3 linked regions of the Anolis sagrei genome follow. The protein of the gene in region 2 interacts with the protein of the main gene of each other region in a pairwise test. Links are inferred from orthologs where the notes say so. Each region holds a gene or a part of one and is shown on either strand. Other genes may lie near its edges. The genes, in order: ZYX, CASS4 and CDC42EP2.

Region 1 (7,372 bases), on a different chromosome or scaffold from region 2:
TCCATTCTATCCCCCATGCTTTTTAATATCTACATGAAACCACTGGGTGAGGTCATCTGGAGTTTTGGAGTTGGGTACTATCTGTACGCAGATGACACCCAACTCTACTACTCATTTCCACCAAACTCCAAGGAAGCCTCCCAGACCCTGAACCAGTGTCTGACTGCTGTGATGGACTGGATGAGGGCTAACAGGTTGAAGCTTAATCCAGACAAGACAGAGGTCCTCCTGGTCAGTCGTGGGGCCGACCGGGGTATTGGGTGGCAACCTGTGCTCGACGGGGTTACACTCCCCCTGAAGGCGCAGGTCCATAGCTTGGGGGTCCTCCTGGACTCAATGCTGTCACTTGATGCTCAGGTGTCTGTGGTGGCCGGGAGGGCCTTTGGACAACTCAAACTTGTGCGCCAGCTGCAACCATACCTCGTGAAGTCTGACTTGGCCAGGGTGGTCCACACCTTGGTTACATCCAGATTGGACTATTGCAATGTGCTCTACATGGGGCTGCCCTTGAAGATGGCCTGGAAGCTCCAATTGGTACGACGGGCGGCAGCCAGGCTCCTTACTGGAGCAAACTGTAGGGAGCATACAACACCCCTTTTAAAACAACTTCATTGGCTGCCGATAAGTTGCCAAGCCAAATTCAAGGTGCAGGTTATGACCTATAAAGCCCTAAATGGTTTGAGCCCCGCCTTGTTCCATATTTCTTACAAGGACTATGTAAGTTTGTTGCACTGTTTGTTTTTGTTTGCAACACTGCAAGTTTATCTTTTAACTCTGCTGATAAGAGTAAATTTTTTCTGTTCTTTTTCCTCTTGCCTGGGTACAATGTTATTATGTCTTCTGCATTAGACCTGAGTGAAACACGCTATGCGCAACATCATTGTATATCTTGCATGTGTGGCAGTGACGTGCTGATGTGGGAATATCCCTGTCATGAGTTAGTTGTGTGTCTTCACATGTTGTGGGGTGGATCAGGCATCGTTACTTTCTCAGTCCATAACTGGGGGAATGGAAAACACGCCAATGTTTCCATATTTGTGTTTTCTGGTTGTGTTGTCATTTCCTCCTCACTTCCTGGCACAGACATGAATAGGCATTTTAGCAACTGCTTCACCAATCTAGATTGTCCACAATGTACATAGTGGAATGTCCTGCTTATCTTTTCTACTAGCTCAAATATTGCAAAAGCAACCAAGTCAGGAACAAGCAGACCTATGGATCGATTGGGATCAAATGATTATTTCTCCATGAAGTTTTTTGTGGAAAGGGGAAGAGCTGTGACCTGTACATAAAATAAGAGATCAAGAATGTGAAAGTTTCCTTGCTATAGGAACACTGCAAGCAACTGAATTTTCTTTTCTTTCACACCCGCACCCCCAATCTCGTGAATGGTGCCATTCCCATTCCATTGTTGCTTGAGTTTGCCAAGCTAACAGAGAAAACAAGCCTATTTGGGGTCATGCTGAGTGTGGTGGTTTTGTCTGTGGAAAAGAGAGAAAAAAGCCATTCCTCTCAAAGTTTCGACAGGAAATTCTGAGTCAGATAATCTCCCCGCTGGTTGAGGCAGGCAGGCAGGCAAGGAGTGGGGGTGGTGGGTGGAGGAGAGGTTGAGGCCGACCCTGACTCATCCTGCGCGGCCCCTTGGCTGAACTGGGGCTCCAAAGGAAATGAAATCACTCGGAGGGGGAGGGAAAGGGGGCCCTGGAGGGTCCTGAGGAATGCAGCAAACCAATGCAAGGTTTCCTTTTTTCCATGAAGGTGGTTTGTGGGGGAAGGGAGAAGGAGAGGGGATCAGCAGAAGTATGATGAAAACTCTAAACTGCAGGGTCTTGGGCTGAGGGGGAGAAGGAGGTCATGTGTGTGTGTGTGTGTGTGTAGGGGGGCACAGAGAGATTTTAAAAGCCAAGATGGGTGGTGAGGGATTTGGGGAGGGGGATTAAGGGAAGAATTGTTAACTGGCTTGCTCTCCCACTTCTTTTGGTCTCAAACATCTTAACTTTCTTCCCTGTCGAGACTTCACCCTCAGGAAGCTTGAGAGGCGAGGACCTGACCAGGAGTGCTTTTGCTCAGTTAAAATTACTATGTCAACTGTGCCCATTGCTGGAGAAGACAGATCTGGCCTCAGTGGTGCATGCCATGGTTACATCCCAGTTGGACTATTGTAATGCACTCTGTGTGGGACTGCCTTCAAAAAGGGCGCAGAAACTCCAGTTGGTCCAATGAGTAGTTGCCAGACTGCTAACCAGGGCTGACTACAGGAAGCACCCAATCTCACTGTTGCAACAGCTCCAGATCCAATTCAAAGTGCTAGTTTTGACTTAGGCCCCTTCTACACTGCCCTGTATTTCAGAATTTGATCCCAGATTATCTGATTATCTTAAATTAACTGGCAGTATAGACTGCCAGATAATCATATCCTAGTATATAGGGCAGTGTAGAAGGGGCCCTATGAAGCCCTATATGGCTTTTTTCATGTCAGGAGCAACTGCTATATGGCTAAAGTCCAGCTTATCTGATGGAATGTATCTCTTTCTATGAACCTGGTAGACATCTACAATCAACTAGGGAGGACCTTATCTCTGTCCCACCACCCGTTCAAGTGCATGTGGTGGGAATAAGGAAGAGGACCTTTTAGGTGGCTGCTCCCAGTCCATACTCCAGGAGATAAAACCCATTCTGAGGGTTCTTCCACACAGCCCTATATCCCAGAATATCAAGGCAGGAAGTCCCACAATATCTACTTTGAACTAGGTTGTGAGTCCAGATAATGTGGGATTTTCTGCCTTGATATTCTGGGATTCAGGGCTGTGTGGAAGGGCCCTGGGTTATATTTATTTATTTACGATATTTATAGACCGCCTTTCTCAGCCATATGGCAACTCAAGGCAGGTTACAGGTTGGCACAATTCGATGTTAGGCATTAATAAAAGTGCCATTAAAAACAATCAACATTATATGGCTGTGTAGTTGTCAAGAGTGGTTCAGAAATGTTGCTGTTCATTCATTCAGTTGCTTCCGACCCTTTGTGACCTCATGGACCAGCCCACGCCAGAGCTCCCTGTCGGCTGTCACCACCTCCAACTCCTTCAAGATCAAGCCAGTCACTTCAAGGATGTCATCCATCAATCTTGCCCTTGGCAGCCCCTCTTCCTTTTTCCTTCCATTTTCCCCAGCATCATTGTCTTCTCTCTGCTTTCCTGTCTTCTCATGATGTGGCCAAAGTATTTCATCTTTGTCTCTACTATCCTTCCCCCTAATGAGCAGTCGGGCTTTATTTCATGAAGTATAGACTGGTTGGATCTTCTCGCGGTCCAAGGCACTCTCAGCACTTTCCTCCAACACCACAGTTCAAAAGCGTCTATCTTCCTTCGCTCAGCCTTCCCTATGGTCCAGCTCTCACATCCGTAGGTGACCAAGGGGAATACCATTGCTTTAAATATGCGGATCTTTGTTGCCAGTGTGATGTCTCTACTCTTGACTGTTTCATCGAGATTGGACATTGCTCTCCTCCCAAGAAGTAAGTGCTTCCTGATTTCCTGGCTGCAGTCTGCATCTGCAGTAATCTTTGCTCCTAGAAATACAAAGTCTGTCACTGCCTCCACGTTTTCTCCCTCTATTTGCCAGTTATCAATCAGTCTTGCTGACATAATCATAGTTTTTTAAATGTTTAACTGCAACCCAGCTTTTGCACTTTCACCTTGGTGAGAAGGCTTTCGGCCATCAAAGTGGTATCATCTGCATATTTAAGATTGTTAATGTTTCTTCCAGCATTTTTTACCCCAGCCTATTCAACTTGTATGCAGAACACACATGATGTGTTCTGCATACAAGTTGAATAGGTTGAGTGAGAGTATACAACCCCGCCGTACGCCTTTCCCAATCTTGAACCAGTCTGCTGTTGCAGAAATAGTTCAGAAATAGTGAGGATCTAATAAGTAACACTACAAAATCCCAAGGGTGGCCTTCAAGGAAAGGAAGGGGGGTGTCTGTGTGTGTGTGTATGAGAAGAGACACCCCTTTTTTGAGGAGGAGGCAAAGAGGAAGCTGTCTCCCCCCCCCCTCTTCCTTCTCCTCTTCTTCCTCCTCCTTCTCCTCCTCTTCTTTCTTGCCTTCCCTCCTTTTTTCGCAACCTCTGCCTCCCCGGTTTGCCACATTCCCGGAGGAGTGAGCTCAGCTGTTGGGTCGGCGCGGCCTCTCTCCTTTTATGGTCAAAGCGCGGCTGGGGCCGGGCGAGGCTCCCCTCCGCCGAGCGAGGGAGAAAGTGAGGAGTTCTGGGGACCCTCCTCCTCCTCCTTTTCCCTCCTCCTCCTCCTCCTCCTGAGGGCCGCCCCTTCCCGAACTTCCTCTCAGCCCCGCCGCCGGGCAGCGCTTGGGAAAGTCGCGCGCCGGAGTGTGAGGGCTGGCACTGCCTGGCCGCGAGACCCTTCCAAGCACTCTCTCTCCTCCTCAGGCGCACAGGCGCGCGCAAAGCCCTCCTCTTGGGACCACCGTCTTCAAGGTAAGCCAGGCTGCGCTTCGCCTCATACTTCGGGGGTTCCGGGGCTGAAAAGGCGAGGGGGCCGGGCTGTTCTCCTCTTCCTCTGTCCCGTCCCTCCGAAGGCGCCTTTTCCTCCAAAGTCTTCTTCCTTGAGCGCGCTTTCGTGCTGAGAGGAAGGGCTTAAGCGAGGCTACTCCATGCACGCGCCACACCAGGCACTCTCCAAACTCCAGCTGTGCGCCTCCAACTCCCAGAAGCCCTCGCCGGCTTGTTGAATGGTCAGGCATTCTGGGAGTTGGAGGCCCAAGCAGCTGGACAGCCTGAGTTTCAGGACCCTTACACACAGCCCTATAACCCAGAATATCAAGGCAGAAAATACCACAATATCTGCTTTGAGCTGAGTTATCTGAGTCCACACCCAGACAATGTGGGGTTTCCTGCCTTGATATTCTGGGATATAGGGCTGTGTGGAAGGGCCCTCCCAGGCAACCCTATAACCTAGAATATCAAGGCAGAAAATCCCACAATATCACTTTGAACTGGGTTATCTGAGTCCACATTTGGAAAAAAGGGATTTTCTGCCTTGATATTCTGGGATATAGGGCTGTGTAGAAGGGCCCTCCCAGGCAGCCCTATAACCCAGAATATCAAGGCAGAAAATACTACAATATCTGCTTTGAACTGGGTTATCTGAGTCCACATTTAGAAAAAAAGGTATTTTCTGCCTTGATATTCTGGGATATAGGTCTGTGTGGAAGGGCCCTCCCAGGCAGCCCTATAGCCCAGAATATCAAGGCAGAAAATCCCACAATATCCACTCTGAACTGGGACTCCTTTTACACAGCTGAATAAAATCCCACATTACCTGCTTTGGACTGGGATATATGACAGTATGGACTAAGGCAGTGTTTCTCAACCTGTGGGTCCCCAGGTGTTTTGGCGTACAACTCCCAGAAATCCCAGCCAGTTTACCACCTGTTAGGATTTCTGGGAGTTGAAGGCCAAAACATCTGGGGACCCACAGGTTGAGAACCACTGGACTAAGGGCTCTTCCACACAGCTGTATCAAGGCAGAAAAACACACAATATCTCCTTTGTACTTGAGTTATCTGAGTCCACACTGCCACATATCCCAGTTCAAAGCAAATAATGTGGAATCTTATTCAGCTGTGTGGATGGGGCCTTAGATAACCCTGTTCAAAGCAGATATTGTTGGATTTTCTGCCTTGATATTCTGGGTTATATGGCTGTGTGGAAGGGCTCTAAGTTATCCAAGGGCACTTCCAGGCAAGCCCTACATCCCAGGATCTGATCGCAGGTTTTCTGCATTAGACTGCATTATATGAGTGTGCACTGCCAGATAATCTGGGATAAAGAGAAAAACTGGGATCAGATCCTGGGATATAGGGCCTCTCTGGAAGGGCCCTAAAGCACCACACAGTTGAATAAAATCCAATGTTATTTGCTTTGAACTGGAATATATGACAATGTGGACTCTAATAACCCAGTTCAAAGCATATATTGTGGGTTATTCTGTCTTGATATTCTGGATTATATGGCTGTGTGGAAGGGCTCTGAGTTCACGCTGCCATATATTCCAGTTCAAAGAAGATAATGTGGGATTTTATTCAGCTGTGTGGAAGGGGCCTCAGGATGCCTGTTTCTTCCTTGCCAGACATATCCTCCCCTCCTCCTCCTCAAGGGAAATACCTCCAACCTCAAGTCTCCTCCTTTCTCTTGTAAAAGCTTGGCAGCTGGTGAAAGTTGAGAGGCGGGGACTGTTGCAAGCTTTTAACTCAAAGGGCCCTTCCACACAGCCGTGTAACCCAGGATATCAAGGCAGATAATTGACAATATCTGCTTTGAATTGGTTTATCTGAATCCACATTGCCATATAATTCCATTCAATGTGGATTTTATACAGTGGTGTGTAACAGGCAGGTATCTCCTTCTCTCTCTCTCTGAGGCCCTCTCCTGAGCCATTTTTCCAGATGTATAGATAGACTTGGGTAAGGAGAAGGACTCCCCCCCCCCCCATTCCTGCGGGTGGCCTTCCTCCTGGAGAGTGCGCTTACTTCTTCCTTTTACTTTCTTGATTTAAGGCCTGTGGGTGTGAAGGGCTTGTGACTGTAGGCCTTCCTTTCACTTCTCTTCTCTGCAGGTATATCTTTGCCAAGGTACTTTTTTCTTTCTTTTCTGACTTGGCCAACAGAGCATCCCACCAGATTATACTATGTAACAAAATCTGAAAAACATTATGTTCCCAGGTTGAAAGTGTTATTTTTTTGTTTTATTGTGTCTGATGTACTTTGAAAGTAGGGCCCTTCCACACAGCCCTATTTCCCAGAATATCAAGGCAGAAAATCCCACATTATCTGAGTGTGGACTTAGATAACCCAGTTCAAAGCAGATATTGTGGGATTTTCTGCCTTGATATTCTGGGATATAGGGCTGTGTTGAAGGGCCCATAGTTGTTCTACTCCAGAAACTTTGTTTTTGTGGCTGCCAGAAACTATGTTGAATTGGTTGAGACTCGATGAGATATTCATTGAAAAACTATCATAAAATGTGCTGCAGCAGGATGTCTCACCAAAACAAAGTTTTTGAAGCTAATAAACTTTTCTCATGTTTTTATGATAGAACGAATTAGGAAATAACATTTATAACTCTGGAACAAAAATTGTGTTACATAGTGTTATTGCAACACCAGATGTCCCCTCAAGGGATCCACTCAAAGTTTACTTCATGAATTAGATGTTGGCCAGGCATTTCTACAAAACTTCAGAAGTAGGACATGAAGTGCTTTGTGTGCCTTCAGACCATTTTTGTCTTATGGTGACCCTATGGTAAATTGATCATTGTGTTTTCTTGGGAAGATTTGTTCAGAGGGCTTTT
Region 2 (7,879 bases):
ACTTCAAAGCAGATAATTGGGATTTTAATGGCAATGTAGAAGAGGTCTTAGAATTCTTCTGAATCACTGGAATAATTCAGCCTTCCAGGTGTTCCTTAACTATCACTCTTAACATCCCTCACCATTGCTAGTGCTGCCTGGAGCTGCTGAGAGTTACAGCTCAACAATATCTATACACATCCACCTCTGCACTAGAGCTCCCTGGTAATTCTTAGTATCTCCTTGCCAAACTACAAATCCCACAGAGCCGAACACGTACTTTTAAAACATCATCAAATTGCTATAACTGTAGTTTAGACAAAGTCTGGAATCCTATTGGTGACATGTTGGTGCATCACATTTGGACACCATGGAATGGGATGTTCACTACCTCCTTGTGCAATCTCCAAACACACCCACAGCTTTCAAGGCCCAGGACCACTGCCATGACTGTTTACTGACTATGGGGAGGAATGGAAGGTCATGTGTTAATTTACTTTTAATGTGAATGCAATGTTTGGATTGGATTAGTTAAAGCTTTTTAACTCTTAGTGCTGCATGTATATAGTTTTAGATATTTAGTTTCAACTTATATTGTAGAGTACTATAGGTCTCATATTGGGAGAAAGGAGAGATACAGTACATATAATACAACACAACACACAATTCCTGTCAAACCTGCTGTTTTGTAGCTGGGGAAAGACACATGAGGTGAGATTCCTGGATTTCCAGCAAACTTCTCCAGATTGCAGTCTGCCTCTTCCCTCTCTCCCAGTAAACAGCTGTGACATTGACCCTAAGAATCAAAGAGTTGGAAGATATCCAATGCAATCCCCTGCCATAACCTGTGCTCCACTCACAACCACAAGCTCCATGGTTTTATATTATCCTCAGAATGAGAGACAATAAGGCTAGTTGCATGTCAACATGAGTCTGTTTTTGTATTTTCCCTTACATCATGCTTGTTGGTTTCTCTTATTTCCCAGAGGCATCTGGTTGACCTCTGTGGGAAGTGGGAACAGTGTGCTGGACTTGATAGACCTTTGGTCTGATCAAGAAGGGATCTTCTTTGTTTTAGGCTATCTTTACTTGGTAGTTTATATTCAGCTGGACTTTCTTCTGCAGAAACAGTTGTGCCTTAAGATTAGTAAAGAAAGGCAAAATGTTAAATAAGGACAGTTCTTTGCTGTTCAGTTAGGCCTTCATGCTGAAAATTTAATTTGTTCTTGTATGTTTTCAAGTTGATTCTAAAATGTGGCAATCATATTGTAGAGCCTTCTTGGCACGATTTGTTCAGTGGTGGTTGGTTATTGCTTTATTCTGAGACTGAGAGAGTGCGACTTGCTCAAGGTGATCCCATAGATTTCCATGGCTGAATAGGAATACAAAACCTGGTCTCTCAAAGTCCAATACTCAAACCACTTCATCATGTTGGTTCCTAATGCCACAGTATATTAATGAAATTAATGCCAAAATAATATATTGTTGTGCTTCTTGTGTTTTATACAAATGTGTATTTTGAGCTGGTTAAAGTGATGGCAGATGTCGCACATATATCTGGAAGTAAATTCGATTGACTTGGTGAGATAGTATTAAGTATAAAAGTAGCAAAACAAATTGACAGCATAATTTATTCTCTTCCTCCAGTAGCCTTGTGCAGCCAGTGCATTGTTTTCATCTTAAATACAGAAATCCCATATTCAGGCACTCCATTGTTAACCACAGCTTAGGTTACTTTATTGGATTACACTTTCTAGAATTTCCAGGCTGTTGTAGGGATTTGGATTGGGGATTTTGGGAGATGGAGTAAGAAAACATCCAGAGTTCTGCACTAAGCCATGATACTCTCCAGGTGACTTTGGGTGAGTTCCTTTCTTCCAGTGATAACCTCTTTTGCAGGCTTGTTATTAGGATACAAACATGATTCCAAATGTGACTGAGAAATATATTTAAATCTCGACCTAACCCTTGATCTATGTCCAGATCCAGACCCGTAGCCAGAAAAAAAAATTTCGGAAGGGGTTGAAACTTTTTCTCCTGAGATGACATTTCAGGCCAGTGTCTCCTGATCTGGCATGAGATCTCAGCAAGGCCCTGAAATGATCCTCATTGTGCAAAGGTTCTTCACCGGTAATTGGTCCTGAATCATTGCTCCCTCTTTAAGTTGGTTCTTGTTGACCACAAAGGACAATAGTTTCCACAATTGGCAGAAGTTGCTTTGTTTTCTTCTGCTTTCTTCTTATTTCCTTTCTTATCCAAACATTTTCCACTGTGAATTAGCAAGAAGTTTTCAGCCAAGCACAAGTTGTTCTGATGGCACTTTGTTTGTTGGTGTCCATTGAAAACTTCTATTGCAATTTCCCATCACACAAATGGTTTAGCAACCAATGCAACAAGCTACTGATGAACACCTTTACCCCAACTTCTCCTCCAAACACCACACAGAGCTTACAGAGAGCACCTTGTACATGAAATGACTAGGCTAACCAGAGAAATCTGCGGAACTATTTGAGTTGAAATCTTAAGTGCCTCTTCTTATCCACAGGAAATACATATCCTGGCAATGGAATCTCTGGATTTTGCACTAACTGAACTTTGACTTTGTCATCAGGAACAGTCTTGTTCATATAAAGTCAAATGGCATGGGTTCTTCTCTTTGCTCCTGTTCCATTGTTTCTTTGGCACGGCTTGGATTAGATCAGTGGTTCTAATCTTGTGGGCCACAGCCCAGCAGTGGGCCGTGTGAACAAAAATCCGGTCTGTGAACCTCCTTCCTGCTATTTATTTTATTTTATTTTATTTTATTTCTGCTCCTTTCCTCAGAGATGACCAGCCTCACCTCTTTTGGTACTAATGTTGGAGAGTGGTCCATGGTCAAAGTGGTCCCTGTTCAAATGGTCCCTGTTCAAGTGGTCCCTAGTCAAAGTGGTCCCTGTTCAAATGGTCCGTGTTCAAGTGGTCCCTAGTCAAAGTGGTCCCTGTTCAAATAGTCCCTGTTCAAATGGTCCCTGTCCAAGTAGTTCCTGGTCAAAGTGGTCCCTGTTCAAGTGGTCCATGGTCAAATTGGTCCCCGGTCAAGTGGTCCCTGCTTAAAGTGGTCCCTCGTCAAAAAAAGGTTGGAAACCCTGGATTAGATGAACTAGTGGGAGACACCTCCATTTCCACAGTTTTCACCCGCAATCCAGATCAAATCGCTCCCTGCCTTAGGCTTTGCCTGCCAGTTGTGGGTAAACCAATTTTGTTGCTTCCACTATGTCAGCTATTGCTGCTATTGCAATGTAAATAGGTAAAAAGGTATGCAATGAAAGTGTGAATAATCAAAAATTGAGATAATGCTTGTAGTTCTGGAAGACTCTAATTTTTGCTTCTCATATACTTGGCATGGGGATTTGGTTAACCGGTTCAAATTCAGGAGTAAACATGGTAGCTGTCCCCACTCCCTCCCCTAAAAATTTTCAGGGGTTGTTTTGAACCTGTAAACCGCCCCCTTGGCTACGGACTTGCCCAGATCTCAACATTTTTTTCTGTTTATTCAGCTCCTTTTTTTTAAAAAAAAATCTTTTTTGGCAAAAGCAATGCTTGTTTTTTGCAAACCCAACAGCCAGCCAGCAGTTCACTCTCTCTTCCAGCATATTCTATTCTATTCTCCTTCCTCTGTATTAATTCTATGCCTTTCCAGGGAGGAGCTTTTCTCTAGATATTTTTTTTATGGTGCAAACCCTGGAGTTTCTCAAAGGGCCCTTCTACACAGCCCTATATCCCAGAATATCGAGGCAGAAAATCCCACATTATCTGCTTTGAACTGGAATATATGGCAGTGTGGACTCAGATAACCCAGTTCAAAGCATATATTGTATGATTTTCTGCCTTGTTATTATTGGATATAGGGCTGTGTGGAAGGACCCCAAGTTTGCTCTTGTATCTCATTTTGTACATTGGTAACTGTCTTTTCTTTAAATAAAGACCCACTTAAGATGAATGTGTCTGAGACCCATTCATACATTCAAACCTCTCTCAATACCTAACACTATGTAACAAAATTTGGGGGAAAAATCTGTTCCTGGTTTGAATGTATTATTTCCCATTTAATTGTGCAGTACTTATTTTGAAAATAGTTGTTATATTCCAGAATCTTCATTTTTATGGCTGCCCAAACTATGTTGAATTGGTAGAGACTCGATGAGATGTTCATTGAAAAACTATAGCAAAATGTGCTGCAGGCTGTCCCGCAAAAACAAATACTTTACAGTTTAATAAACCTTTTCCATGTTTTTATGATAGAACCAATCAGAAAATGACATTTATAACCCAGGGACAAAAATCGTGTTTCATAGTGTAATAAGAGTAAGGTCTATTTTACACAAAGGTGGTGGAGGAAGGGGAGAGGGGTTGGAGACAAAAGAGAAAAGCAATGCGTAAACAAATCCCAGGAGGATCCACCCAAACCAGAGAATGTTAAAAAGTGATTAAGCAGCCAGGACCAGATGGTCAATTTGAATAGCCAGCCCCCAGTGAAAGTATTTCATTTTCATGGCTCTCTTCTGCTTTGTTCTGTCCGATCCACCCTCTGTGCCACCCTCACCCTTAAAAAGATATAATTCCTAAGACTTTGTTTCGGGTAATTTGAGATGGAATCACTGAAGCAAGGCCAGGTAGTTAAAATTCAAGATGATAACAATGCTGAGACTTTAGAATAATTAAAATTCAGCGTATCAGGAGCCAAATTGAAGAGTAAAGCAGTAATGAAAAAAATTAAAATCCCATAGTAGAATAAGAAAACCTTTGCACTACATTTGTTTTATGAGGTTTTCTTTGTATTATATGTCATTGTTGTTTTTAAAGAATTATCTCTCTCTTTCCCCCAATGACTTTTTTATCTGCCCAATCCTCATCTTCCCTTTGATCCTGGGGATGCTAAATATTCAGAACCTCATTTGCATGGGGATCTCTCCAGGCCAATTGCAACACAGGAGAAAAGAACTGTGCAATGAAGTTCCTTCCTCTCTCAAATTCACTCTGAAATTACTCCACCGTCTTTGGGCAGCGAATTAGGCGAAGGAGGTTTTGCAAGCAATTTGACACAAGAGGATTTCTGCTGTTTGGTTGCTAGTCCTGATTTAGTTCAAGGAGGCAAGCCAGATACCTTTTTAATGCCAGCGTGCCTTAATGGACCAGGAAAGGCTTTAAGAGAAAGTGGCAAAATGAAAGTGAACGTGAGTAGCAAACTTTGCTTGTTGCAATTGCATATTGAAGGGTTTGTGTAGATTTGATTTTACAGATTTATCTACTGTGTACAGCTATTGATAATAGACAAGCTGCAACTTTATAAGGAGAGAGCTTTTTGCATTTGGATTGTTGTCTTTCTAAAGATATCCTGAAAACAATAGCTCCCATCTGATTTTTGAAAGCTAAGCAGGGACAGCCCTGGCTAATACATGGATGTGACAACATTGAACATCTGTTCAATGTTCAATAAAATGTTCAATGCATACTGTGTGTGTGTATGTATTTATATATATGTCTGTTGACATATGACATCCTGATAAATTTTCAAAGCATTTTCTAAGGAGAACAATACTCAGTTCCTTCTTCTGAAATACAGCCTACAACAGTATTTGTTGGTGGTGTCCCATCCATGAATTAGCCAATTGGCAACAGAATGTTCAATGTGTCGTCAAAGGCTTTTCTTTTGCCAGAATCACTGAGTTACTGTGAGTTTTCCAGGTTTTATGGCCATGGGTTTTTTCGGGCTATATGGCCATGGTCTAGAGGCATTCTCTCCTGCTGTTTCGCCTGCATCTATGGCAAGCATCCTCAGAGGTACCTCACTACCTCTGAGGATGCTTGCCATAGATACAGGCAAAACGTCAGGAGAGAATGCCTCTACATGGCCATACAGCCCGGAAAGAACCTACAAAAACCCAGTGATTCCGGCCTTGAAAGCCTTCGAAAATACATTTTATGGCCATGTTGCAGAAGCACTCTCTCCTGACATTTCACCCACATCTATGACAGGCATCCTCAGAGGTTGTGAGGTCAGTTGGAAACCAGGCAAATGGAGTTTATATATATCTGTGCAATGTCTGTTCACACTTTCCTCAAACAGACAAAAGTTATTTCTCCCACCGGGGACATTCCACAGATCTATAAACCCCACTTGCCTAGTTTCCAACATACCTCACAACCTCTGAGGATGCCTGCCATACATGTGGGTGAAACGTCAGGAGAGAATGCTTCTAGAACATGGCCATACAGCCTGGAAAACTCACAGCAACCAATTAAATAGAATGTTTTATTTTGCTAGTTTGAAAGAAAAAGCTGCCCAGATAATAGTTTTGATGGATGGCCATATCTATTTTTGACATGCAACAACAACAATAACAGTGATAATAGTAGTATAGAAATAATATAAGCAACTCTAGAAATAATATATAATGTATAGAATATAATAGAAATAGTATAAGCAACATCCTCACTTAGATGTTAGACTCACTGATTGCAGTGTGCTTGCTTCTGAGTAGCTATATGTAAAGATGCACTTTTCGGGGATGCAAAATGTTCCCCAAATAGGTATTACTACTATTTTTAAGTTAGCTTTTTCATTAATAAATTAAAAATCTCATTATACATGTCTTCTGTCATCTTCTGCCCTATAGTCGATCTATGAAAAAGATAACTATAAAGGAAGGAACGTGGGTTTTGGTGTTGAGGAAGCGAGAGATAAAACACAGTTTTATTAACTTGTAAAAATATTGCATGCACAACATTTCATATCAGTTTTAATCTGATAGTCTTATAGATAAGTTGGAACTGATTATTTCTCGGCAAAAGACTTGCTAATTGTGACAATCACATGCATGTGTTGTCCCTAGTTTTGCGAGGGGGGGGGGAGCAAAATGTTAATGGGAGCCAGGATGGTGTGGTTTGGGCGTTTGGAGACCAGGGTTCAAGTCCCTAATTAGCCATAGAGACCTCCCATGAGACCATACAATGAGTTGGAAGAGACCTCATGGGCCATCCAGTCCAACCCCCTGCCACGAAGCAGGAAATTGCATTCAAAGCACTCCTGACAGATGGCCATCCAGCCTCTGCTTAAAAGCCTTCACAGAAGGAGCCTCCACCACACTCTGGAGCAGAGAGTTTCACTGCTGAACAGCACTCACAGTCAGGAAGTTTTTCCTAATGCTCAGGTGGAATCTCCTTTCCTGTAGTTTGAAGCCATTGTTCTGCATCCTAGTCTCAAAGGCAGCAGAAAACAAGCTTGCTCCCTCCTCCCTGTGACTCCCCTTCACATACATGGCCATCATGTCTCCTCTCAGCCTTCTCTTCTTCATGCCAAACATGCCCAGCTCTTTAAGTTGCTCCTTATAGGGCTTTTTCTCCAGACCCTTGATCATTTTAGTCACCCTCCTCTGGCCCCATATAGCCCATTGATTCCTTAACATTGAGCTATGGCAGTTTAAATGGGATCACCTGGAATACTTCTGCAATGTAGACACATGCTGAGATGTGCCTGCATATTTCAGTTCAAATTAGACTGGTACAGATTCTATGTTTTGGTTCAGTGGAATTAACATAAGCAAGCATTCAGGACTATTTAATGCTGTGGTTGCCTCATACCTGCTATTCTTTTCCTTTTCTTTGAAATCCTTTAAAATCAGTGTGCCAATCTGCCATAATATTGTCAAAATAAACTAACATAGTTTAGGAGGCTATTTCAAATGAATTTATCTGGGAGTATCAGTCCTATCTCAGCAGTGACTCAATATTTGTTCAAGGTGAACAACTTCAATCGCCATAGTTCTGTCATCTTTGGAGGAGTAACCCTGTTGCACCAAAAAACAACAGAGTTTTCTGGCATCTTAATGACTGAAAATATTTACAATAGTATAGGTGTCTG
Region 3 (7,962 bases), on a different chromosome or scaffold from region 2:
CCTATTCTGCCAGGCAAGAAGACACAATTAAAGCCCTCCTGGCAGATGGCCATCCAGCCTCTGCTTCAAAACCTCCAGGGAAGGAGACTCTGCCGGACTTATTATTATTATATTCCACTACTGAACAGCTCCTGAACATATACAAAACGTAATTTTCCAACCTTTGTAACTATTTAGCAATATAAAAGTGTCTTCTGAGCATATAACAAAGTATCTTTTCCAACCATTACATGTATTAATGATATAATAGAGGCAAAATGGACTTCTGAGCATGAACAAAGTACTCTTTTCCAATACTGGAAATGTTTAGCGATATTAACTCAACAAACCAGGCTTCTGAGCATGTGCAAAGTGCTCTTTCCCAACCATTGTACCTATTTAGTGACATAACAGCAACGAAGTAGGCGTCTGAGCATATCCAAAGTGCCCATTTCCAACAGCTGTCGCTATATAGTGACCAAAAAGCAGCAAACCAGGCTTCTGAGCATGTCCAAAGTGTTCTTTCCCAACCATTGTAGCTATTTAATGACCTAAAATCAGCAAAGCGGGCTTTTGAGCATGTCCAAAGTACTTTTTCCAAATACTGTTGCTATTTAGTGACCAAAAAGCAGCAAACCAGGCTTCTGAGCATGTCCAAAGTGTTATTTCCCAACTATTATACTTATTTAGTGACCCAAAAGCAGCAAACCCGGCTTCTGAGCATGTCCAGAGTGCCCCTTTCCACAGACTGTTGCTATTTAGTGACCCAAAGGAGGAAACCAGGCTTCTGAGCATGTCCAAAGTGCCCTTTTCCAAAAATTGTCACTATTTAGTGTCCTAAAATCAGCAAATCGGGCTCCTGAGCATGTCCAAAGTGCCCTTTTCCAAAGACTGTTGCTATTGAGTGACCAAAAATCAGCAAAGCAGGCTTCTGAGCATGTCCAAAGTGTTATTTCCCAACCATTATACTTATTTAGTGACCCAAAAGCAGCACACCAGGATTCTGAGCATGTCCAAAGTGCCCCTTTCCATAGACTGTTGGTATTGAGTGACCCAAAGGAGGAAACCAGGTTTCTGAGCATGTCTAAAGTGCCCATTTCCAACGACTGTCACTATATAGTGACCTAAAATCAGCAAAGCAGGCTTCTGAGTATGTCCAAAGTGACTTTTCCAAAGACTGTCGCTATTTAGTGACCGAAAATCAGCAAACCAGGCTTCTGAGCATGTCCAATGCGCCCTTTTCCAAAGACTGTCGCTATTTAGTGACCAAAAAGCAGGGAAGCAGGCTCCTGAGCATGTCCAAAGTGTTCTTTCCCACCCATTATACCTATTTAGTGACCAAAAATCACCAAACCAGGCTTCTGACCATATCCAAACTGCCCTTTTCCAAAGATTTTTGCTATTTAGTGATCTAAAATCACCAAACATGCTTCTGAGCATGTCCAGAGTGCTCTTTTCCAAAGACTTTTGCTATTTAGTGGCCTAAAAGCAGCAAACCAGGCTTCTGAGCATGTCCAGAGTGCCCTTTTCCAAAGACTTTTGCTATTTAGTGGCCTAAAAGCAGCAAACCAGGCTTCTGAGCATGTCCAGAGTGCTCTTTTCCAAAGACTTTTGCTATTTAGTGGCCTAAAAGCAGCAAACCAGGCTTCTGAGCATGTCCAGAGTGCTCTTTTTCAAAAACAGTTGCTATTGAGTGACCAAAATGCAACAAACCAGGTTCTGAGCATGTCCAGCGTGCCCTTTTCCAAATATGTTTGCTATTTAGTGACCTAAAAGCAGCAAACCAGGCTTCTGAGCATGTCCAGACTGCCAACTGTTGTTATTTAGTGACCTAAAATCAGCAAACCTGGCTTCTGAGCATATCTAAAGTGTTCTTTACCAAGCATTGTACCTATTTAGTGACCCAAAATCAGCAAAGCAGGCTCCTGAGCATGTCCAGAGTGCTTTGTCCAAAGACTATTGTTATTTAGTGACCTAAAAGCAGCAAACCAGGCTTCTGAGCTTGTCCAAAGTGCCAACTGTTGTTATTTAGTGACCTAAAATCAGCAAACCTGGCTTCTGAGCATGTTCAAAGTGTTCTTTCCCAACCATTGTACCTATTTAATGACCCAAAATCAGCAAAGCAGGCTTCTGAGCATGTCCAAAGTGCTCTTTCCCAACCATTGTACCTATTTAGTGACCTAAAATCAGCAAAGCAGGCTCCTGAGCATGTCCAAAGTGCCCTTTTCCAAAGACTGTTGCTATTTAGTGACCTAAAAGCAGCAAACCAGGCTTCTGAGCATGTCCAGAGTGCCCTTTTCCAAAGACTTTTGCTATTTAGTGACGTAAAATCAGCAAACCAGGCTTCTGAGCATGTCCAGAGTGCCCTTTTCCAAAGATTTTTGCTATTTAGTGACCTAAAATGAGCAAACCTGGCTTCTGAGCATGTCCAAAGTGTTCTTTCCTAACCACTGTACTTATTTAGTGACCAAAAAGCAGCTTCTGAGCATGTCCAAAGTGCAAACTGTTGTTATTTAGTGACCTAAAAATCAGCAAACCTGGCTTCTGAGCATGTCCAAAGTGTTCCTTCCCAACCATTGTACCTATTTAGTGACCCAAAATCAGCAAACCAGGCTCCTGAGCATGTCCAAAGTGCTTTTTCCAAAGACTATTGTTATTTAGTGACCTAAAATCAGCAAACCAGGCTTCTGAGCATGTCCAAAGTGTTCCTTCCCAACCATTGTACCTATTTAGAGACCCAAAATCAGCAAAGCAGGCTCCTGAGCATGTCCAAAGTGCTTTTTCCAAAGACTGTTATTATTTAGTGACCTAAAAACATCAAACCAGGCTTCTGAGCATGTCCAGAGTGCCATGTGGCAGATATCAGGCTCACAACGCTAAGAAACCCCCAAACCTTGACACTTGCCACGCCCATGGAGCTCCACAAAGGCTTTGCATCCCTGCCTATGGGGTTCCTGAAGGCCTCCTCCGCCCTTGCCAAGGGGAATACTCACCCAGATCTGGCCTGGGCGTCGCCTCCTCCTCTTCCTTCGGCCGCCAAAGAGAGAAAAGGCGCGCCCTCCGCCTGCCCAGGATTGCCACCCACCGCCAAGCCACGCCCACTCCAGCCCTGGACCAATCCCAAGCCGCGGCTGGCTAGGCAGCGTTCTATCCCCGCCCCTTTTGTTTTGCATGTTGCAACATTGCTTCATCATAGGGAAGGGCTTTGTGGCTTGACCTCCCTGATTCACTCCTATTGAATCCTCTTGTCTTTGGACCCATCTTTGGGGATCCATAAAGGATATTGACAATAATAATAATAATAATAATCTATAGACATAATAATAGTGAAAATGTGTATTACTATATATATCTGTATAATAATATAATATGTATATTGTGTGTTTATATTATTATAATATAATATGTAATAATATAATATGTATATTGTGTGTTTATATTATTCTAATAATATAATATGTAATAATATAATAATATAATATGTATATTGTGTGTTTTATATTATTATAATAATATAATATTATATTAATTTTCCTATTATATATTATTATATATTCATATTTATTATATTATGCTTATAAGATATATAACATTACTATATATCTGCATAATAATATAATATATATCTGTATAATAATATATTTTGAGATTTATTATAATATAATATAATATATTTTGAGTTTTTATATTTAATAAATTATACTTTTATTGACTATATATGCATAATTTGTTACTATATATTATTTTATATTCATTATTATATTTTCATATTATATATTATTATATATTCATATTTATATATATATTAATATATTATACTTTTATTGACTATATATGCATAATTCATTACTATATATTATTTTATATAATTATATATTCATTATTATATTTTCATATTATATATTATTATATATTCATATTTATTATGTTATGCTTATAAGATATATAACATTACTATATGCATAATAATATAATATATATCTGTATAATAATATAATATCTGTATAATAATATAATATATTTTGAGATTTATTATAATATAATATAATATATTTTGAGTTTTTATATTTAATATATTATACTTTTATTGACTATATATGCATAATTTTTACTATATATTATTTTATATAATTATATATTCATTATTATATTTTCATATTACATATTATTATATATTCATATTTATTATATTATGCTTATAAGATATATAACATTACTATATATCTGCATAATATAATATATAATGCGTTTACATTTATTATACATGATATAGAACATTAGTTACTATATATCTGTATAATAATATAATATATATTGAGTGTTTATATTTAATATATACACGTAATAAAAGTGAAAATGTGTATGTATAAAACATTCATTACTATATATATATATTGTGTGTTTATATTTAATATATTATACTTTTATTGACCATATATGTATGTATGTGTGTATATTTGTGTGTGCTTGTGCATATATATACGTGTGTGTATGAATGTATTTATGTATATGTATATATATGTGAGCATGTGTATATGTATATATGTGTGTGTATATTTGTGTGTGCTTGTGCATATATATATGTGTATGAATGTATACATGTATGTATATGTATATATATATATGTGAGCATGTGTATATGTATATATATGTGTGTATATTTGTGTGTGCTTGTGCATATATATATGTGTATGAATGTATACATGTATGTATATGCATATATATGTGAGCATGTGTATATGTATTTATGTATGTGTATATTTGTGTTTGCTTGCGCATATATATATGTGTGTGTATGAATGTATGTATGTGTATATGTGTATATGTATGTGTGCATGTGTTTATTTGTGTATATATGTGTGTGCCTGTGTATATGTATCTATGTGTGTGTGCATGTATATGTATGTGTGTGTACATATGTATATTTGTGTGTGCTTGTGCATATATATACATGTGTATGAATGTGTGTATGTGCAGGGGCAGCTCACCCATTACGCAAAGTAAGCACTCGCAGTATAGTTGATGTTGCCCAGGGGCGCTCTTGAGGCACTCTTGGGGGAAAATAGACCTTGACATATGCGAGTTGTAGTTACTGGGATGTATAGTTCACCTACAATCAAAGAGCATTCTGAACTCCACCAGTGATGGAATTGAACCAAATATGGCACAGAGAACTCCTACGACGAACAGAAAATATAGATCAGTGATTGGTTGGGGGGGGGGGGGGGGGGCGCCAAAATACTGTTTGCTTACCGTTGAAAATTACCTAGGGCTGCCTCTGTGTATGTGCATATGTATATGAATGTATGTATATATGTATATATGGTGTATTTTTTGGGTTTTAAAGTCTGTTCCACTGGGGGAGGGTGTTTTTGGGGGTGGTGGACACTCGTTGGACTGTTATGTGTATTGTGTCAAAATTTTGTGTCCATTCGACCAGTGGTTTCTGAGTTATGTTAATCCCACAAACGAACATTACATTTTTATTTATATAGACTAGCCGTCCCCTGCCACGCGTTGCTGTGGCCCACATGGGGGTTCTGTGTGGGAGGTTTGGCCCAATTCCATCGTTGGTGGGGTTCAGAAAGCTCTGTGATAGTTCAGAAAGTGAACTATAAATCCCAGCAATTACAACTCCCAAATGTCAAGGTCTATTTTCCCCAAACTCCACCAGTGTCTACATTTGGGCATATTGAGTATTCATGTAGTTTGGTCCAGATCCATCATTGTTTGAGTCCACAGTGATCGCTGGATGTAGGTGAACTACAACTCCAAAACCAAAGGACATTGTGCACCAAACCCTTGCAGTATTTTCTGTTGGTCATGGGAGAACCGTGTGCCAAGTTTGGTTCAATTCCATCGTTGGTGGGGTTCAGAATGCTCTTTGATTGTAGGTGAACTATAAATCCCAGCAACTACAACTCCCAAATGACAAAATCAATTTTTTTTTTTAGTGAAGGACATAAATTGGGTTGTTAGGTATCTTGTGTCCAAATTTGATGTCAATTCGTCTAGTGGTTTTTGAGTTCTGTTAATCCCACAAACGAACATTACATTTTTATTTATTTATATTCATATGTGTGTGTGTATATATGTATGTATTGGGAGGGATAGCTAATATTCCAAAGACGGAAAGGGGTTGCCCTGGATGGCCTTTGGGTTTTTCTTTCCAGCTCTAGGATTCCATGATTAAGAGCCATGTTTTCGTTCTGATGCAAGCCCATCTGATGTAACCCACCTCTTTCCCTGCTTTCCTTTGTGTTGATCCAAGCGGAGAGGAAATCAAAATCCATATTTGGCCTGCATTTTCCTCTGACAGCACAGCCAGCCAAGCCTATAATTTTAATAATGTGTCAAGGTGGAATTCCTCTGATTTAGGGGAAGAGCGACATCATCCGCCAGGCACTCCGGTTGAAGAAAAAGAAAACCCCAGAGGGTTTCTTTGGAGGCTTCGGTCAGGTTTTATCTATGGGATCTGTTTTGAGAAGCAAAGAGGGGGTTTGGAAAGCAAAGATCTTTGTCTAGGGAAGGGCGAAGGAGGAGAAAGCAAGGACAAGACATTTGCCTGGAGAAACAAAAAAGGTGGTCAGTTGAAACATTCACGCCTAGCTCCAGCAGACAAGAGTTCTTTGTCCCACCCTGGTCATTCTACAGATATATAAACCCTTTGTCCTAGTTTCAACAGATCTCACTACCTCTGAGGATGCTTGACATCGATGCAGGCAAAACGTCAGGAGAGAATGCCTCTAGACCATGGCCATATAGCCCGAAAAAACCTACAACAACCCAGTGAAGGTGGCCTGTCTCTGATCCAAAATGCTTGGGGCAAAAAGTGTTTTCTGTTGAGGAAATTATTATTATTTATTTACTAGCTGTCCCCTGCCATGCGTTGCTGTGGCCCACATGGGGGCCCTGTGTGGGAGGTTTGGCCCAATTCTATCGTTGGTGGGGTTCAGAATGCTCTGTGATTGTAGGTGAACTATAAATCCCAGCAACTACAACTCCCAAATGTCAAGACTCTATTTTCCCCAAACTCCACTAGTGTTCACATTTGGGCATAGTGAGTATCTGTGCCAGGTTTGGTCCAGATCCATCATTGTTTGAGTCCACAGTGCTCTCTGGATACAGGTGAACTACAACAAACATTACGTTTTTATTTATATAGACTAGCTGTACCCACCACGCTTTGCTGTGGCCAACCTGCCCTCATTCTTTCTCTCCTTCTTTCTTTCTCTTCTTCCTTCCTTCCTTCCCTCCCTCTTTCCTTCCTTCCCTTTTTCTTTCCCTTCTTCTTTCTTCCTTCTCTACCTGTTTCTTTTCTTGCTTCCTTTGCTCTTTGGTTCCATCCTTCCTTGTCTCTTTCCTTCCTTCCTTCCCTCTTTCTTTCATTCCTTCTCTCCTTCCTTCCCTCTTTCACTTTTTTATTTCCTTCTCTCCTTCCTTCCTTCTCTACCTTTCCTTCCCTCCTTCTTTCCCTCTTTCTCTCCCTCCTTCTCTACTTCCTTCTCTATCCTTCTTTCTTTCCTTCCTTCTTTCTCTCCTTCCTTCTCTACTTACTTCCTTCTCTATGCTTCTTTCCTTCCTTCTCCCCTTCCCTCCTTCTTTCTCTCCCTCCCTCTCTACTTCTTCTCTATCCTTCTTTCTTTCCTTTCTTCTCTCCTTCCCTCCTTTCTCTTCTCTCCCTTCTCTACCTTTCTTTCCTACCTTTTCTCCTTCCCTCCTCTCTTTCTTCTCTCCCTCTTCCTGTCCTTCCTTCCTTCTCTACCCTTCTTTCTTTGCTTCCTTCTTTCCTTCCCTCCTTCTTTCTCTCCCTCCTTCTCTCCTCTTTTTTCTTTCCTTCTTTCTTTCCCCTCCTTTTTTCCGTTCTCTCCCTCCTTCTCTATTTATTTCCTTCTCAGCAAAAGTAAGGAAAGGAAGAAGGAAGGGAAAAGAAAGGAAGGAGGGGGGAGGGAAGAGGAAGGAAAAAGAAGAAAGGAAGGAAGG

The links.
Region 1: the proteins of CASS4 (region 2) and ZYX interact in binary tests that used the Homo sapiens proteins (3 or more experiments, as listed by UniProt). The link is inferred for Anolis sagrei from reciprocal best matches to the Homo sapiens genes CASS4 and ZYX.
Region 3: the proteins of CASS4 (region 2) and CDC42EP2 interact in binary tests that used the Homo sapiens proteins (3 or more experiments, as listed by UniProt). The link is inferred for Anolis sagrei from reciprocal best matches to the Homo sapiens genes CASS4 and CDC42EP2.

Annotation. Positions count from the first base shown.
Region 1 is NC_090022.1:196,437,444-196,444,815, reverse strand, and holds the start of ZYX (zyxin), read left to right. Parts: upstream 1-4,298; 5' UTR 4,299-4,498; intron 4,499-7,372. UniProt on the Homo sapiens protein: Adhesion plaque protein. Binds alpha-actinin and the CRP protein. Important for targeting TES and ENA/VASP family members to focal adhesions and for the formation of actin-rich structures.
Region 2 is NC_090024.1:226,293,033-226,300,911, forward strand, and holds the start of CASS4 (cas scaffolding protein family member 4), read left to right. Parts: upstream 1-4,853; 5' UTR 4,854-5,129; coding exon 5,130-5,192; intron 5,193-7,879. UniProt on the Homo sapiens protein: Docking protein that plays a role in tyrosine kinase-based signaling related to cell adhesion and cell spreading. Regulates PTK2/FAK1 activity, focal adhesion integrity, and cell spreading.
Region 3 is NC_090032.1:10,719,513-10,727,474, forward strand, and holds the start of CDC42EP2 (cdc42 effector protein 2), read right to left. Parts: upstream 3,053-7,962; 5' UTR 2,973-3,052; intron 1-2,972. UniProt on the Homo sapiens protein: Probably involved in the organization of the actin cytoskeleton. May act downstream of CDC42 to induce actin filament assembly leading to cell shape changes. Induces pseudopodia formation in fibroblasts in a CDC42-dependent manner.